Linked DNA regions of Canis lupus familiaris. The protein of the gene in region 3 interacts with the protein of the main gene of each other region in a pairwise test. Links are inferred from orthologs where the notes say so. Each region holds a gene or a part of one and is shown on either strand. Other genes may lie near its edges.

What was found.
Region 1: the proteins of AP2B1 (region 3) and GTF2I interact in binary tests that used the Homo sapiens proteins (3 or more experiments, as listed by UniProt). The link is inferred for Canis lupus familiaris from reciprocal best matches to the Homo sapiens genes AP2B1 and GTF2I.
Region 2: the proteins of AP2B1 (region 3) and SLC25A6 interact in binary tests that used the Homo sapiens proteins (3 or more experiments, as listed by UniProt). The link is inferred for Canis lupus familiaris from reciprocal best matches to the Homo sapiens genes AP2B1 and SLC25A6.
Region 4: the proteins of AP2B1 (region 3) and NUP54 interact in binary tests that used the Homo sapiens proteins (3 or more experiments, as listed by UniProt). The two-hybrid records come from large-scale screens. The link is inferred for Canis lupus familiaris from reciprocal best matches to the Homo sapiens genes AP2B1 and NUP54.

Annotation. Positions count from the first base shown.
Region 1 is NC_049227.1:5,756,016-5,760,334, reverse strand, and holds the start of GTF2I (general transcription factor II-I), read left to right. Parts: upstream 1-1,480; 5' UTR 1,481-1,857; intron 1,858-4,319. UniProt on the Homo sapiens protein: Interacts with the basal transcription machinery by coordinating the formation of a multiprotein complex at the C-FOS promoter, and linking specific signal responsive activator complexes.
Region 2 is NC_049260.1:869,231-873,482, reverse strand, and holds the start of SLC25A6 (ADP/ATP translocase 3), read left to right. Parts: upstream 1-1,413; 5' UTR 1,414-1,542; coding exon 1,543-1,653; intron 1,654-2,622; coding exon 2,623-3,109; intron 3,110-3,700; coding exon 3,701-3,841; intron 3,842-4,252. UniProt on the Homo sapiens protein: ADP:ATP antiporter that mediates import of ADP into the mitochondrial matrix for ATP synthesis, and export of ATP out to fuel the cell.
Region 3 is NC_049230.1:38,024,990-38,028,547, reverse strand, and holds part of AP2B1 (AP-2 complex subunit beta), read left to right. Parts: intron 1-2,543; coding exon 2,544-2,679; intron 2,680-3,558. UniProt on the Homo sapiens protein: Component of the adaptor protein complex 2 (AP-2). Adaptor protein complexes function in protein transport via transport vesicles in different membrane traffic pathways.
Region 4 is NC_049253.1:39,406,853-39,411,057, forward strand, and holds the start of NUP54 (nucleoporin p54), read left to right. Parts: upstream 1-1,366; 5' UTR 1,367-1,485; coding exon 1,486-1,552; intron 1,553-2,165; coding exon 2,166-2,327; intron 2,328-4,205. UniProt on the Homo sapiens protein: Component of the nuclear pore complex, a complex required for the trafficking across the nuclear membrane.

The DNA of each region.
Region 1 (4,319 bases), on a different chromosome or scaffold from region 3:
TAAATATGCCAATATGGTAATGAAATACGAGTGCAAAAAAGAAACACTGTTCTTGTTTGAAAACGGAATGGAACGCTTTGGAGAGAGGCTCGACAAAGGAGAGTCCCGATCGAGCCCGGCGGGGACAGAAATGCCTGTGGGAGGCGAGGGGGAAACCGTAGAGACGTGCCCATCTTCTGCAAATCGCGCGGCTCCCGCAGGGACCGCGAAAGCCTCCGTCTGTTTTAAAGAATCCCGACGTGGGAATTCTAGGGGAGGCTTTCCGGGTGCGGTCGACGCGGGAGGAGATGGGGGAACGCCGATCTGCGGGCACCGAGATTCAAAGGGAAGGTCTTGGACCGACATCAAAAAGACTGGCTGCTCGGAAAGTTTTCTTTCCAGCGACAAAGGCTGGAAAAAAGCGCCGTGGTCGCCACCTACCGAGGGGGAGGGGAGAAGGGGTGGGGGCGGGGGTGGGGGTGGGGAGGAGGGCGGCCGGCGGGGCCCCCCCATCGCCGCCGGGGGGAAGAATCGTGAAACCCTTCGGTCCAGTGCTCCGCAGAACCGCCCTCGACCTCGGGGCTCGAGTTCTGTAAACTTTTGAGCGTCGCTTAGGTGAAGAGCAGTGTCTCAGCGTTTTCGACATTCGAGAGCTCAAGTTGGAAAGCGAAAAAGCACAATCGGGAGGCGGGAGGCGGGGTGCGGGGTGCGGGGTGCGGGGTGCGGGGGAGAGGTTTCGGTCCAGTTTCTCCGCGGTCGACAGAACAAAACCCAGCGGGCTACAGGGCAGGTTTTCTGCTCCCTCCGCGGCTTTCTCTCAACTTTGCCTCTAAACGTGGAGCGAGGGAGCGAGGGGAAAGTCTGGGCTGTGTGGGTGGGGTGGGGGTGGGGGTGGTAAATAAAAACAGGAGCCCCCCGCCCCCTGCCCCGGCGCAGGTTGGGGCTCCGGTCTCCTCCGGCCGCCTCGGAGGCAAGCTTGCAAAACTAACAGAGGAGCTCTTTGTGTCCGGGAGGGTGGTGCAGGGCGGAGGAAGTCCCTCGGCGGAGCACAGGGACCGGCGGGCCGGCCTGGGGCTCCCGGGCCTCTGCCATGTTCCGGCCTCGCCATCGGCAGGGAATGTCGGACGCACGAGTGAGTGCGAGCCCCGGACGGTGGCTCGGGCCCGCGGCACCGCGGCGCTGAGCAGGCGGGGGCCGCCCCCGGCCTAGGCCGGCGCCCCGCGCCCCGGCTCCCCTCCCCCACCCGGGCGGCCGCGCAGGCCCCAGGTGCAGCCATGTTCTTGCTCCCACCACCCGCGCCTCCATTGACAGTCCTTGCCGGAGAGGGCCGGGCGCCGCGCTCGCCGCGTCCTCGGGCTCGGGGCTCGCCGGCGCGGGGCTTCCTGGGAGTCGTAGTCCGCCGCCCCCGCCGTCGCGTTGGTGGGGACGAACCACAAAACTACAACTCCCGCTGGGCGGCGCTGCGGGTGCGCACGCGCAGCGCGCCTTCGAGGAACAAAAAAAAAAAAAAAAAAGAGGAGGAGGAGGAGGGTGAGAGAGAAGCTCGGAGAGCAGAGAAAAGGGGCCACCGATCGCCCCCCCGCTTCCCCGCACGCGCTCTCTAGCTGAGGCCGCCCGCCTGCCGCGGTGATCCCGGCCTCTCCCTCGGTCCCCCGTGATCGGATCTAGGCGCTGACCCAGGCCCTGCCGGGGCGGCCATGCGGCGGTGACAGGAGCTCGGCCAAGACGCCCGGGCCCCTCGCCCTCTCACCTCCTGCCCGCTCGCCCGCTCGCCCCAGCCCGGAGCTGCTCCGCCGCGGCCGCAGCTCTTGCTCGGCCCACACGCGCTTCCTTTCGGCTCCCCCAGCCCCGGCGCTGCCTGGAGGCGGCTGCACTCGGGTGAGTCCCCGTCGCCTCCCCCGCGCCCCCCGCCCCGGTTGCCATCGCGAGCGGGGCCCTTCTTTGAGACGCGCCCCCCCGGGGCCCGCGCGGACTGGGGCCGGGGTACCCGGGCCGCCGTGTTGGGGGTGGGGCGGGAGGAGACGCGGTCGCGGGGGACGACAGTTGCACGCGCGCGCCTGGGAGCGCGGGGGGAGGGGCGCGCGCGCCGGCGCTGCGTGGGGGGGCTCACGCGTGAGTCCCGCGCGCGAGCGAGCCTGCGGGCTGCGCATGCCCGGCCGCTGATTGGCCGGCTCGGGCGGTGCGGGTGCGCGCGCGGTGCCAGGCCCGAGCCGTGGGGTCGCGCTCGGCCTGGTGTCTCCGGGGCTCGTGCGCCCGGGCAGCAGACGCGCGCGATTGGCCGGCGGGCGGCGGGGGCGGCGCCGCCGCGCTGCCTGGTAACTGCGGCCCGGGGCCGGCGGGCCCCGGAGCGCCGCCCGCCCCGCCCCGCCCCGCCCCGCCCCGCCCCCGCCCCTCCCCGCCCCTGCCCGCGCCCAGGTGGAGCCCGGAGTGGGCTTTGTCCCGGCCCGGCCGGCGCGCCGGCCCCGCGGGGCCTGTTCTTTGGGGGAAATAAACACAATGACCGGAAGGAAAACCTCGGCCTTCGGGCCACGGAAAGCCGTCTGGATCCCGCAGGCGCCCGGACGGGGTTTCGCGGAGGGACGAAGGGGAAAAACTGTCCTTTCCCCCCTCCCTGTGCTGCCTCCACTTTCTCCAAGTTTTGCCTTTGAATAAAGGAAGTTCTTTTTTCCCTTCTTCTTCTTCTTCTTCCCCTGTCCAATGTGGCGTTGCGGTAGCCGGCGGCCGAGAGCGTTCCGGCGTCGAGTTGGGTTGGAGCAGGCCCACTCCTGCGGCTGCGGGGCTCCGGGCACGCTTCCCCCTTCTCTGCGGCTTGAGGGGCCGGAGGGCAGCAGAGCCGTCTCTGGGGCGTTCCGGAAGCAGAAGGGGAAGTTAGTTTGCAAATGAGGGTGCCCCGGAGTGCGGGGAGGAGGCTGAGCCCGCGCCCGCGCCCGCGCCCCAGGCCCGCGGCCGGGGAGGACAGACACCTCCTCCCTCCTGCCCCGTCGCTGTCTCTGTCTCGTCAGTCGTTCAGCCGCAGAGCCGGGCTGCCGGGCGCGGTGCTCTTGCCTCCTCCTTGGGACCTTGACTTTTTCTTATGTTCGGGCTTTGGAACTCTGGTCTTGCTCCCGTGCCGTCGCTGAAGGCCGTCTCTTGCATTGTTTGGTGGGAATTGGTCGTTTCTTTTTTCTTTCTCTTAAAGATTTTATTTACCCACGAGACGCGGAGAGAGGCAGAGGGAGAAGCAGGCCTCCTTGGGGGAGCGGGTGCTGGACTCCATCCCGGGACTTGACCCCGGGGCTCCGGAACCGGGTCCTGAGCGCGGGGCGGACGAGCCCAGCGGCCCCGCGGCGTCCGAATCAGCTGGTGCGGCCCTTCCAGGAGCGGGTCTGGGTTTCCCTGAGGGGAGTGTTGTGCGTCGGTGCACTCTTGTCCGCCCCGTCCGTGGGCAGGAGGGGCAGGGGTTAAGCTTTTTCCGCCTTTGTCTCCCCTCCCGGCGGACAGACCCGCGAAGGGCCTTGCACCGAGCCTAACATTTGGATGTTTCCTAAGCGCCGGGCATCCCTCTTCAGCACTAACGTGTTTTCTTATTCAGTCTTGAAAACAACCCCGCAATTCCCTTGTGTAGACGAGGAACAAGTCTAGAGAAGCTGAGTAGTGTATTCTTGATTACTCAGCAAGTCAACCTTGACTGCAAGGTTGGAGCCTGGGCAGTCCGACTCTTAACCCCTCAGCCTGTGGCTCTCAGACTCCGGAGCGTCAGCAACCCCCGGAGGGCTTGTTCAGACACCGTCGCCCCGCCCCACCCCAGAACCCCAGACTTCGGATTCGGCAGGTCTGGGGTGGGGCCCCATTATTTGCATTTCTAACTAGTTGGAGCGGGCTGTTGTTCCGCCGCTCGGAGGATGGCTCTGCTCTCGGAGAGCCATTCAGCGCGGTGCAAAATTAAGCTGTGAGTGTAGGGAATTTATTCTAGATTTTCTTTAAAGCTTTTCGTTACTTTAAAACCTGAACTTAACCAAAAATAATTCGGACTGCTTATCGTAGATTGTGTGGAAAGCTGATTGAGAGTTAAAAATTTTTGTTAGCCATGATTACGAAATTAAAAGTTTAAGAAGTCTCAGGTTTTAAAAGAGCCACGGATTTAAGTACAGGATAAAATTAGAAACCTAATCTTGCCTTTTTTTTTTTTTTTTTTTCAGTCTCAATCATTTTTTAATTCATTTATGGCACTGGCATTATGGCAATCTCCTCCTAGAGATGACTGAGGCATCTCATCCCCACCAGTCTTGTCTGGGAACCCGGAGTGCTGATAGGGCCTCAGCTTGATGCTGAAATGAGGGAGCTGGTGGTCACTTGAAGGC
Region 2 (4,252 bases), on a different chromosome or scaffold from region 3:
GACAGGAGAGAGACAGGAAGAGAGACAGGGAGGCCTAAAGCCAGTCGGGCGGAGCCCTGAGGGCGCCTCCCGGAGCTGGAGTCCCGCTGCGGCCAAGCCAGCGAGCGACACACCTTCCACTCCGAGCGACACACCTTCCACTCGGATCGCTCGCTCGGTTACAATCCAGTAAGAGGTTCAAGGTCAATGGAACGTTCCGCAGGACACCGTGTCCGGGCTTGAGCTTCCCTCCTGGGGGTGCCCGGGGTGTGTGTGCATGTGTGTGTGCAGGTGCACGTGTGTGTGCAGGTGCCTTCTGCGTGTGCACAGGTGCCGTCTGCGTGTGCAGGTGCACGCGTATGTGCAGGTGCCTTCTGCGTGTGCACAGGTGCCGTCTGCGTGTGCAGCTGGACACACAGGTGCATGTGCGTGTGCAGGTGCCTTCTGAGTGTGCGCAGGTGCCCTGTGTGTGTGCAGGTGCACGAATGCACAAGTGCGTGTGCGTGTGCAGGTGCCCTCTGTGTGCAGGTGCACGCGTGTGTGCAGGTGCCGTCTGCGTGTGCACAGGTGCCGTCTGCGTGTGCGTGTGCAGGTGCCTTCTGCGTGCGCAGGTGCCCCGTGTGTGTGCAGGTGCACGAATGCACAGGTGCATGCGTGGCCGGCTCAGCATGGCCCCGTGCAGCGAGCGCCGCCGCGAGTCACCCATCCATGCGGGCTGCAGCACCCCCACATGAGGGCGCGGGGGTCTTGGGGGGGCCCAGGCTTGGGCTCGCTGGGGTTGGTCTGGGGCGTCCGCATGGGCCAGTGGGCGGGGCGCTGGAGTGAGGACGGGTCGGGCGGCCAGTCGTGGGGACTGTGGGCTTTTGGAGGGGGGAAGTGCAGGTGGCAGGCGACCTGACCTTGCGGTCTTCGAGCTGACCTTGGGGTCTTCCAGAGGAGCCCGGGGCCGCGACGTGACCTCGGGGTCAGCACACGGGGCCAAGGGGTCGCGGTCGGGGGACGGGTCGCGCAGGGTCAGGGTCGCGGTGCTGGGCGCGCCCGGGGGGCCAGCGGCTGGAAGGAGCCCGAGCTCGCGGACCCGCCGCCGCCGCCGCCCCCTCCCCCCGCCGGGAGCGCCCAGGGCCCGCGGCGACCTTCACAAGGTCACGGCGGCGGCCGAGCCCTCGGGCCGCACGGCGCATGGGCGGGGTCCCGCTCCCGGCATGCCTCGGGGCCCGGCGCGCGGGAAGGGGCGGGGCAACGGCAGCAGCGCAGCCAATGGGCGCGGCGCGGGCGGGCACGGGGCGGGGCGCGCTGCGGCTCCCGGCAGCCCGCGGGGGCGCGGCGCGCGGGAAGGGGCGGGGCGTCGGCGGGCGGCGCGGCCAATGGGCGCGGCGGGCGGGGGCGCGGGGCGGGGCTTCGGGCCCTTAGCGGCTGCGCGCTGGGCGCCCCGTCCTTTCGGTCCCGGCGGCGGCAGCGCGGAGCCAGCGGCGCCCTCCCTCCCTCCCTCCCTCCCTCGGTTCGCCCGTCCGTCCGGCTGTCCGCGCCCGCACTCCGCCGTCCGCCGCCCGCCCGCCCGCCGCCATGACGGAGCAGGCCATCTCGTTCGCCAAGGACTTCCTAGCCGGAGGCATCGCCGCCGCCATCTCCAAGACGGCCGTGGCCCCGATCGAGCGGGTCAAGCTGCTGCTGCAGGTGCGCACGGCGCGTGCGCGCTCGGGGACCCGGGACGGCGGTCCCGTCGGGGGGGGGGGGTCCGGGCGTGCTGCGAGGGCTCGCGGTGGGGGGTGACAGCGGGGCGGGCCGGCCGCGTGCACCGGGACCCGCGGCCGCCGGAAGTGCGAGGCCGCGCCGCTTTGTCCGCGCGCCGCCCGCTTCCGGGGCCGGGCCGGCCGCGCGTCACGTGGCGCTCTCCGCGCGTGCGCGCTGGGGCAGAGCTCTCGGGCGCCCGGAGCGCGGGCCTCGCCCCCGCGGTTCCCACCGTCGAGGCCGAGCGGACCGCGGGAGCCCCGCGAGCGCCCCCTGTGATGGAGGCCGGGACTTTGCTCCGCCCCGTTCCGGCCTGAGAGGCGGCGAGCCGCGGCGCTCCGCTGGGAAGTCGTTGCGCCCGCGGCCAGCTGGCGGCAACATTGTTGCAGCGCCTCCTTGGCAACATTGTTGCAGCGCGTCCTTGGCAACGTTGTTGCGGGTGGGGCAGTGGGAACATTGTCGGTTGACCCGTGCGGACCTGCGGGGACCAGTGTCCTGGGCTGTGCCCCGTCCTGTCGAGCCAGTGCACGCTCCCGTGCACGGATGAGCGGTGCGGACTTGCAGGGACCAGTGTCCTGGGTGTGCCCGGTCCTGTCGACCCAGTGCGCTCCTCCCGTGCACGGATGAGCGGTTCCGACTTGCAGGGACGCGCCTCCCGGGATGAGTGCCCTCCGGTGCTGGGTTGACCGGTGGTGTCCTGGGCTGTGCCCCATCCTGTCGACCCAGTGCGCTCCTCCCGTGCACGGTTGAGCGGTTCCACTTGCAGGCATAGGCCCCCCCGGGATATGAGCTCTCCCGTGGAGCTACCGTGCTCACATGCAGGAATTCCCCTCCAGGGACTCGCCTACCCTAGGGACGCTGGCTGGTACTGCGTGCGGGCCCTCTAACGAGCCTGTCCGCCCGTCTATCTCGCAGGTGCAGCACGCCAGCAAGCAGATCGCCGCCGACAAGCAGTATAAGGGCATCGTGGACTGCATCGTGCGCATCCCCAAGGAGCAGGGCGTGCTGTCCTTCTGGAGGGGCAACCTGGCCAACGTGATCCGCTACTTCCCCACGCAGGCCCTCAACTTTGCGTTCAAGGATAAGTATAAGCAGATCTTCCTGGGGGGCGTGGACAAGCACACGCAGTTCTGGAGGTACTTTGCCGGCAACCTGGCATCAGGCGGGGCCGCGGGCGCCACCTCCCTCTGCTTCGTGTACCCGCTGGATTTCGCCAGAACCCGTCTGGCGGCTGACGTCGGCAAGTCGGGCACCGAGCGGGAGTTCAAGGGCCTTGGAGACTGCCTGGTGAAGATCACCAAGTCCGACGGCATCCGGGGCCTCTACCAGGGCTTCAACGTGTCCGTGCAGGGCATCATCATCTACCGGGCGGCCTACTTCGGCGTCTACGACACGGCCAAGGGTACGTGTGTTCTTGCTGTGGGGCTGCACGTGCGGCGGGGGCTCCGGGATCCGCTGTTGGCAGAGCCGCACTCTGCAGGGTGGGAAGTCTGACATCCACACGTCCACGGGGTTGCTGGCGTTCGTGGCGTCTCCTCGGTGTGTAGATGGCAGTTTTGTCCGTGTGTCCTCACGTGGGCCTCTTCTGTGCGTCTGAGTTTAGATTTTTTACAGGGTGTTGATGGTGTTGGATTAGGGTCTCCTCTGAAGACGCTTTACACTGTTTTTTAAAGGCAGTTATTTTTAGGTATCCGGGGTTTTCAGCGTGAACATTAGGGTGTGCCGTTCACACCCTGAAAGCTAGTGTCTGTGCAGCAGAACCGCCTCTTGTGTGGTACATGCACTTACCAGGCTCGCCTGTCCCTCTCTGTAGAGAGAGCCCGTTCGTTCCCAGGCACTAAGCGTGGGCCTCAGGGACCGCTCTATGCCCTGCGGGTGGTTCCATGCCGTTCCCTGGTCGCGGGGGCTCCACGTGGCACCAGGGCAGGCAGTACTGCTCTTGCCCCGCTGTGTGTGTGGCACTGGAACCTAACGCTGGCTGGTGACCCCGCAGGCATGCTCCCAGACCCCAAGAACACGCACATTGTGGTGAGCTGGATGATCGCCCAGACTGTGACGGCCGTGGCCGGCGTGGTCTCCTACCCCTTCGACACCGTGCGGCGGCGGATGATGATGCAGTCCGGGCGCAAAGGAGGTACGTTGTCTCGGTCCTGGTGACCGGGACTTGTCCTCGGAGATGAGAGATACAAGAGCTCCTGGAATGACGGGCCCTTTGGTGGCCTCAGGCCATGGGAAGCGGGGCTAACAGATGAGGTTCTTCACAGGGTTTGAGACCGTAACTGTTGATCCAGGGGCGCTAGAACCCTGCAGCCCTGCCGGGTACCTGCCCGGGCCCTTGGTGCTGCCCGTGCTTTGGTCTTCTCTACGCTGGCCCGGGACCTTGCACTGATCCCAGGAGTGGACACGGGGCTGCAATTTGGGTGTTTTGGTTATAGCCACAGCAGTGGGCTGAGCAGCGGCCAAGACCTGGAGCTGTTGGTGTGCAGAGCCTCATTTTTCCCTGGGATGAGAAATCCAGGTCGCCTGGAGGGTGGCATCCGGTTTC
Region 3 (3,558 bases):
GTTCAGATTGGTCACATTGCCAGTGAGCTACACATGACTAGTGGCTACCATAGTAGAAAGTTGAGGTTTCTAGCTTTATAGGTTGGTGCTTAACAGTTTTTACCTCTAGAACTTGTTCTTGATCAAGATCTTCTTGATCTTGTGCAGGTTGTTGGAATTATTCAGGATCTTACATTTGCTAATGTGTCACATTTATTACCAGTTTTACAGTTGTTTTGCCCATGAGTTACTCTAGGAAATGGTAAGACATTCATTTTGGGGGAGTGTAATGTTTATTGAATACATGTGCATGAAACTACATTAGGTGTGTATACTCAGGTTAAATGACATTTAGAGCAGAACTCATTGGTTTGTTGGAGATATAGTAGATTCTTTGACTTTGCAAAACATCTTCCTATTTGTAAATAACTTTCTGCTTATTGTGTGTGTGTACAGGAGCCATTACCATGTGACTAGTTATTTCAATCATTCTCTTTCCTGTAGAGAGATATATATAAATATATATATATATATATATATAAATAAATATATTGATGTTTGCTTTTTCTGTACTTGTAGTAAGCTGTTAAGTTCTTAAAATTCAGGGGCTCCTGGGTGGCACAGTAAGTTAAGCATCTGACTCTTGTTTTCAGCTCCAGTCATGATCTCAGGGTTGTGAGGTCAAGCTCCACCTAAGGCTCAGAGTCTACTTGGGATTCTTTCTCCTTCTCTCTTTGCCCCTCCCACTCGTGCTTGTGCCTGTTCTCTCTCTCTCTCTCTCTCTCTCTCTCTCTCTCTCAAATAAATTTTTAAAAAAGTATTTAAAATTTATGTAGTACTTTGATAAAGCCTAGGAGGAAGGTTAATTACCAGTCTCTCCTAAAAAATTATAGTTAACGTGTACTTGAAAAAATACAGCTTATATTTTAAAATCAAATAAATTCATTCCTTCCAAACTAATGATTTGGAGGCCATTCCAAAATAAAGCCACTGTTTGGCTTTATAAGAGAGTAGGAAATCATAAAATGACTTGAACTTTGGAAAAGTGTAAGCTTTTATATCTGAGGACACTGAAATTTTCATTTGTCTGAGTTTGTAATATTAAGAATAAATTCTAGAAGGGAGTCAAGACTTCTTAGAAAAATGACTGGTTTCAGTTTTGAGATTAGAAATGTACAAAGAAATCTTGGTTAGTGAATTTTGTCCTACCAGAAAGTGAGGAGGCTGATGAAAATGCAGGATTACATCACAGGAACTCAGAAGCTAGCTGAGTAAGTTCCCACTGCCCAAGGATAGAATATGAACATTAAAAACGTAGCAGCCATAGTGCTTCGAACCTGCAATATGTAGAATTACTGTTAATTTCTGTGTGTGATAAAGATTGTGCTTTTAAAAAACAAGATTCCAAAAAAAATAAATACAAATAAAAAACAAGATTCCTAAAGATATGCCCTAAAATATGTATGAAATTACATAATGTCTAGGATTTCGTTAAAAATAATCCAGACTGGGGCTCCTGGGTAGCTCAGTCGGTTAAGTGTGCAATTCTTGATCTCAACTCAGGTCCTGATCTCAGGGTCATGAGTTCAAGTTCTATGTTGGGAAAAAAATCCAGAGCAACTAGGTGGGATAGGGACAGGGGAAGGGATATTGGATTGAGGACATGTATAAAACAAGATTGGACATGTGTTAATGCTTCTTTGCAGCTGGGTGATGGATATATTGGGTTCATTATATTGCTCTACTTTTTTTTTTTTTTTAAGATTTTTTTATTTATTCATGAGAGAGACAGAGAGGCAGAGACACAGGCAGAGGGAGAAGCAGGCTCCATGCAGGGAGCCTGACATGGGACATGATCCCGGGTCTCCAGGATCAGGCCCTGGGCTAAAGGTGACACTAAACCGCTGAGCCACCAGGCTACCCATATTGCTCTACTTTTGTTAGAAAATTTGCTGGGACGCCTGGGTGGCTCAGCGTTTGAGCATCTGCTTTTGTCTCAGGGCATGATCCCGGGATTCAGGATCGAGTCCCACATCGGGCTCCCTGCGAGGAGCCTGCTTCTCCCTCTATCTGTGTCTCTGCCTCCCTCTCTCTCTCGGTGTCTCTCATGAATAAATAAATAAACTTAAAAAAAAATTTTGCTAACAATGAAAAGTTTCTTAAATCTATTTTATTTTTTATTTTTATTTTTTTTAAAGATTTATTTATTTATGATAGACATAGAGAGAGAGAGAGGCAGAGACACAGGAGGAGGGAGAAGCAGGCTCCATGCCGGGAACCCGACATGGGACTCGATCCCGGGACTCCAGGATTGCGCCCTGGGCCAAAGGCAGGCGCTAAACCGCTGAGCCGCCCAGGGATCCCCTTAAATCTATTTTAGAGATCTTCTTGGGTCTTGTACTACAGTTTCCTTAGAAATTGAGATCAGTGTTAATTGTTATCACTGTGGGGACATACTTCTTTGCATCAGATCACTTTGTAAAGGCTATTTCTCCATATTCTATCCAATAGCTTGGCACCAACATCTATTCATTTTCCTTTTCTTTTTTCTCTTCTCTTCTCAGCTCTCTTTTTCCAGATGTAGTGAACTGTATGCAAACCGACAACCTGGAATTAAAGAAGCTTGTTTATCTCTATTTGATGAACTATGCCAAGAGTCAGCCAGACATGGCCATCATGGCTGTCAACAGCTTTGTGAAGGTAACATTTCCACCCCTAGGAACTCAAGACCAGTCTCGTCTACCTCAAGTAGGCTTTTCAGGAAGTATTGTTTGATGTAGGTAATGTCTGCATTGCAAATAAGCAACCTCTGTTGCAAAAGAGAGCCTCTAGAGAAGTACTGGCAGTGACTATGAGTGTTCAGGTTTTTAAGCATTCTTTATGCCAGCATTCGTCATCCAGTTCAAACCATATGGAGAGCCTTCTGTTAGCTGGTTTTGGTGCATCCTTGCCAGATGGGAGAAGAAAGCCAGAAGAAACCTTCCCAGGCTGACAAAGGTTAGGCGTATCATTGAAGTTTCAGTAACCTGGGTTTTATCTATTTATCATGGGGAAAATTAAGCTTATGGGTCAGAAGTAGTAGAAACTCAAGGAGTAACTACTTCTGTTTTTACTTAATAGGTCTTAACACTCATTTTTTTTTTATTCTGGAAACTTCCAAACATATTCAAGTAGAGGGAATAGTATTCTAAATCCCTAAATCCCCATCTTGTAGTTTCAGTGGTTACCAGCACGTGACAAGTCTTTTTTTTTTTTTTTCCTTAGGATTTTATTTATTTATTTGAGAGAGAGTGCACAAGCCGTGGGAGGAACAGAGGGAGAGAGGGAAGGAGATTCTCAACTGAGCAGGAAGCAGGACCCTGGGATCATGACCTAAGCTGAAGGCAGATGCTTAAGCACCCAGGCACCCCAACCCATGACCAATCTTATTTATTCTCCCTATACATGCTTTCCTGACTCCCACTCCTCCTAATGGATAATTTTAAAGCAGATTCCAAACATAAAGATGAAAAATCATTTCATCCTTGTAAGATCTCCTTTTAAGATTTATTCATTTGAGAGAGCAAGAAAGTGAATGCA
Region 4 (4,205 bases), on a different chromosome or scaffold from region 3:
CATATACACCTTTCCTAATTGATATAGTCTTTACTTGCTTCGAAACTTCCCACTATTTGTACAATCTCCATAATTCTTAATTTCGTGTATTCCTTTTCTTTTCAATGATTGATGTACAACAGTGGGATGTCTTTTCTCTCACGAGAGGTGAAGTGTCCAAATTACAAAATACTGCAGGCGAAAGTCTGCAAAAAAATCAATGTGATGCAGCATTTATTCTGAGATATCAACAATAAATTCTTTTTGAAAATCATTATTACTTTATTATTAATAAATTATCGTTACATTATTTTGCAATAATGATGATTATTATTATTTCTTGCAATAATGATTATTAATACGACTCATTTGAGAGAGCAGGAGATAAACACCTTCCCCTGCTGGTTTCTAGCTCGTTACCGCCCTTGTCCTTAGGAGGACGGTGCAGAGAGATCAACACTTGGGCATGGATCGCAGATGCCAGTGTCGACATCTTCCATCATCTCGAGAAAATTTTCAGTACCGTACAGTCAAAAAATCAATTTCAAATACACCTGTGCGTGTCTTAAAAACAAAAAAAATGCATTTATAAACAAGAATAGGAAAAATGCTAGGCCAGTACTGCCCGGAAGAGGAGCCGGCGTCAGGGAGACGCTTGGAGGCCTTCAGCGGGGTCGGGGCGTCCTTCCACCTCGGAGCGGAACGTCAAGTCTTTTTTTTAAATTTTTATTTATTAATTTTTATTTATTTATGATAGTCACACACAGAGAGAGACAGAGAGAGAGGCAGAGACACAGGCAGAGGGAGAAGCAGGCTCCACGCAGGGAGCCCGACTGGGACTGGATCCCGGGTCTCCAGGGTCGCGCCCAACCGCTGCCCCGCAGGGATCCCACGTCAAGTCGTCACTGAGATGCACGCCCGGCCTGCAAGACGCAAAAAGCCAAGACAGTCCAAGCAGAGGGGCCACCCGACTCACCGCAGTCCGGGGCTGGAGTCCGCTCCTCGGCACCCGCTGCCCCGAGGCCGCCGCTGGCGGAGGAGGGCGCGCACGGTGGGGCCTGTCCCTGCCCACGTGCCGACTCCCAGACGACTCGGGGCGGTAGAACACGGGAAAGAGGCCGCTTCGGGGTCCTCGTGAGCTCCGGCGTGACAGTGGGCTCCGCGCTGCGGAGACGGGGATCGCGGCCTCCCGCCCGGTCCCCGCCACACGCCCGTCAGCAGCGGAGCCCGCCTCCGCCCGGGCCCTCCCTGAGGCGCTGAGCCCGGGGCCCGCGGCACCGCCGCGACGTCACGCCCTGCGCCGCGGGACGCGCTCAGGCCCCGGAAGCGGGCGGACCCGGCGCGCTCCCGCCAGGCCCCGCCCCTGCGCTTCCGGCGTTCGGGCTTCCGAGGCGCGGCCAGAAAAGGGCCGGAACTCGGTGAGCCGGAGGCGGCTCTCGGCGGGACTGAAGAGCGGCGCGCACCGAGGGTCGTGGGGGCGGCGCCTGCGTCCCCTGCTCGCGCGACATGGCCTTCAACTTCGGGGCTCCCTCGGGCACCTCTGGCACCGCCGCGGCCCCCGCGGCCCCCGCGGGTGAGTGGTCCTCCCGGGAAGGAGGGGCGGCCCCCGGTGCAGCCCCCCGGCCCGAGCCTGTGCGGCCCGGAGACCCTGGGGGTGTCCTGGCTGCTTGGGGACTCCGGGGGCTCCGGGCCAGGGGCCGCGGCTGAGCGGGCCCGGGCGGCTCCTGAGGAGGCCGCGGGGGTTCCGAGGCCCAGCCCGTGGCTCCCCGCACAGCGTCGCCCTCCCGGGGTCCGCTTCCCGCCGCCGGGGGCCCTCCGGAGGCCAGACGGCGGCTCCGCGCTCCCGCTGCCGGACGGCGGCCCGGCTCTCCCCGCCCGAGCCCCCGGGGCCCCGAGGTCCGGTTGGGGCTGGCGGGTCGGGGCTGCGCGGCGGCCGCTCGGGGCGGGCCCTTGGGTCGGGGCTGCGGGACCTCGCGCTCGGGCTCCTCCCTCCCGTCCCCGCCTCCACCTCCGCTTTCTTAACCCGCTGGAGCTAAGTCGAGGTTTGTCCTCGTTCGCTTCTGTGAGACCTGCTGACTCTTCTAACCCTTGTCTTGCTTTCTTTTCCTTTTCTTTTCTTTTCTCTTTTCTTTTTCTCCCCCCTCCCCCGTTTTAAAATTTTGTTTCTGTGCCTACACGCCGATCAGGATTTGGTGGGCTTGAGACTGCCAACTCCACCGCCAGTGGGTTTAATTTTGGGGGTTTCGGATTAACTGCTAATCCTGCAGTGAACTTTAATATTGGGAATTTCGGTGTTTCTACTACCTCGGCGACTCCGTTCAATTTTGGTAACAGTCTGGCAAGTGCAGGTAGATACTGCGGGTCGTACGTGTGACGATGTTGGGAGCCGGAGTCCAAGAATATTTCGCAGCTCCGAGTTTTCGGAAGAGCAGCGACATGCCTAAAGGGGAAAGGACGTTCATTCATTCCCTAGAGTCGAATCAAAAACGTTTGCATCTAGCTCCGACTGTCTTAAAAGATTTGGTTTTTAGAAGCCTTGCAAGTTGTGATGTTCCTTTGTTGAACTTGCATTCGATCCGACAGAATATACCTTCCAAGTGGTAAGAATCTGGAACGGATTATTTGAAGTAGAATATGTTTTCCAAATTGTTTATCTTATCTCTTACAAAACAGAAACTCACCAGTCAGGCTCTTTTCTCTGGGATTCTTGGACTCCTGCAGTCATTTTTTTTTTTTTTTCCCCCATCTTTCCTGCATCTTTCATTGCAATTTCATTCGACTGTCTTTGTGTTTCCCAAGAGAAACAAGTCTTATACGAACAGCAACATCCTGTATTTTTAAAATGTGTTTAGCAACAACAATGTATTCCTTTGGTCCACTCGGCAGATTAGGATGCATTTCTGTAAGATATGTAATTTTAAAGAGTCTTGGTTTTTTACAGGATTTTTTTGAGAAATAAGTAGAGCAGTTTAATTTGTCAGATAGCATGGAGGCTAGTAGGTAGGCTAGACATATTTGTATTAAATAATGATGAAGATTTTAGTACCTATATGGATTGAAGCTCATTGGAAATTTGCAAAGCACAGACTATAATGTGTTTATATGTATATATAAATTTAAAATAGGTCTGTGTATTTTACATAGTTATCCTATAGAAAAGTCTTGTTCCTCTGCTGCTCGTATATGAATATATTGTCCATATTCTCTTGCATTATGCCACTTATACCCATGCCAATTATATGCATTTTGTAAACATTATTTATTCCCTAAAATTTATTTGGAAAGTCTGGTATTTGTGCAGTATTTGTTAGAGCAGTACGAATATCACCTCGGCATCTGATTTGAAATGTTTTGAAGAATACGTTTGAATTCCAAAGATAAAACAGTCCTTGTCGTTAAGGTATATTTAAAGTGATCGTGTATCACTGTCATTTACTGTCATGCACATTTATTTTTCCGTTTGCTTAAAATTGGCACTGGGTAAAACAGCTGTATTTTGAAATTTGTGTTTCTGAATAAAGCCACCCAGCTTGTAATTCAACAACAATAAATAAACTTATTGGTATTTGCTTGATTTCATGTTCATTTGGAGTTATCACTGTTAAGTGTTGAGTTGTGATAATATAACTGTATTTTAACCACTTCTATGTATGTTCAGTAACTGAACCTTCAGCAAAGGGATGATAGAAATTCTTATTTTTTTTATTTTTTTTAAAGTCTTGTTTATTTTGTATCTTAACAGATTCACTACTACATTTTTGGTATTAGGAACCATGATAAGCTACTAATATTGTGTAGCCAAATCAGAATATATCATAGTTATTCTATGTAAGGGAAGATAATGAAAAAGATTGAGAGCAGTGTTTTATACTTTTAGTTGATTTTTTTTTTTTTTTTTAGTCCAAATGTTTACAGTTTGCAGTACTGCAATAGAACCTACAAGAAAATAGCCTATTTGGTTATGTCTACAGTATGCAGTCTATTCTTGAGTAATTTTCCAAATCAAAATTATATGGTGAATATCAAAAGGTTGAGGTTTTTTCTTTCTTATATCCTTTATGTAACATGAATCTATCTCTTAAACTAGAAATATAGGAAATTAGAAGTTAGAATTGTGAAAAACTGTGGCATAATGCAGCACTAATGGTTCAGACTTTTTTTTTTTTTTTTTAAGATTTATTTATTTATTCATGATAGACAGACAGGGGCAGAGACACAAGCAGAGG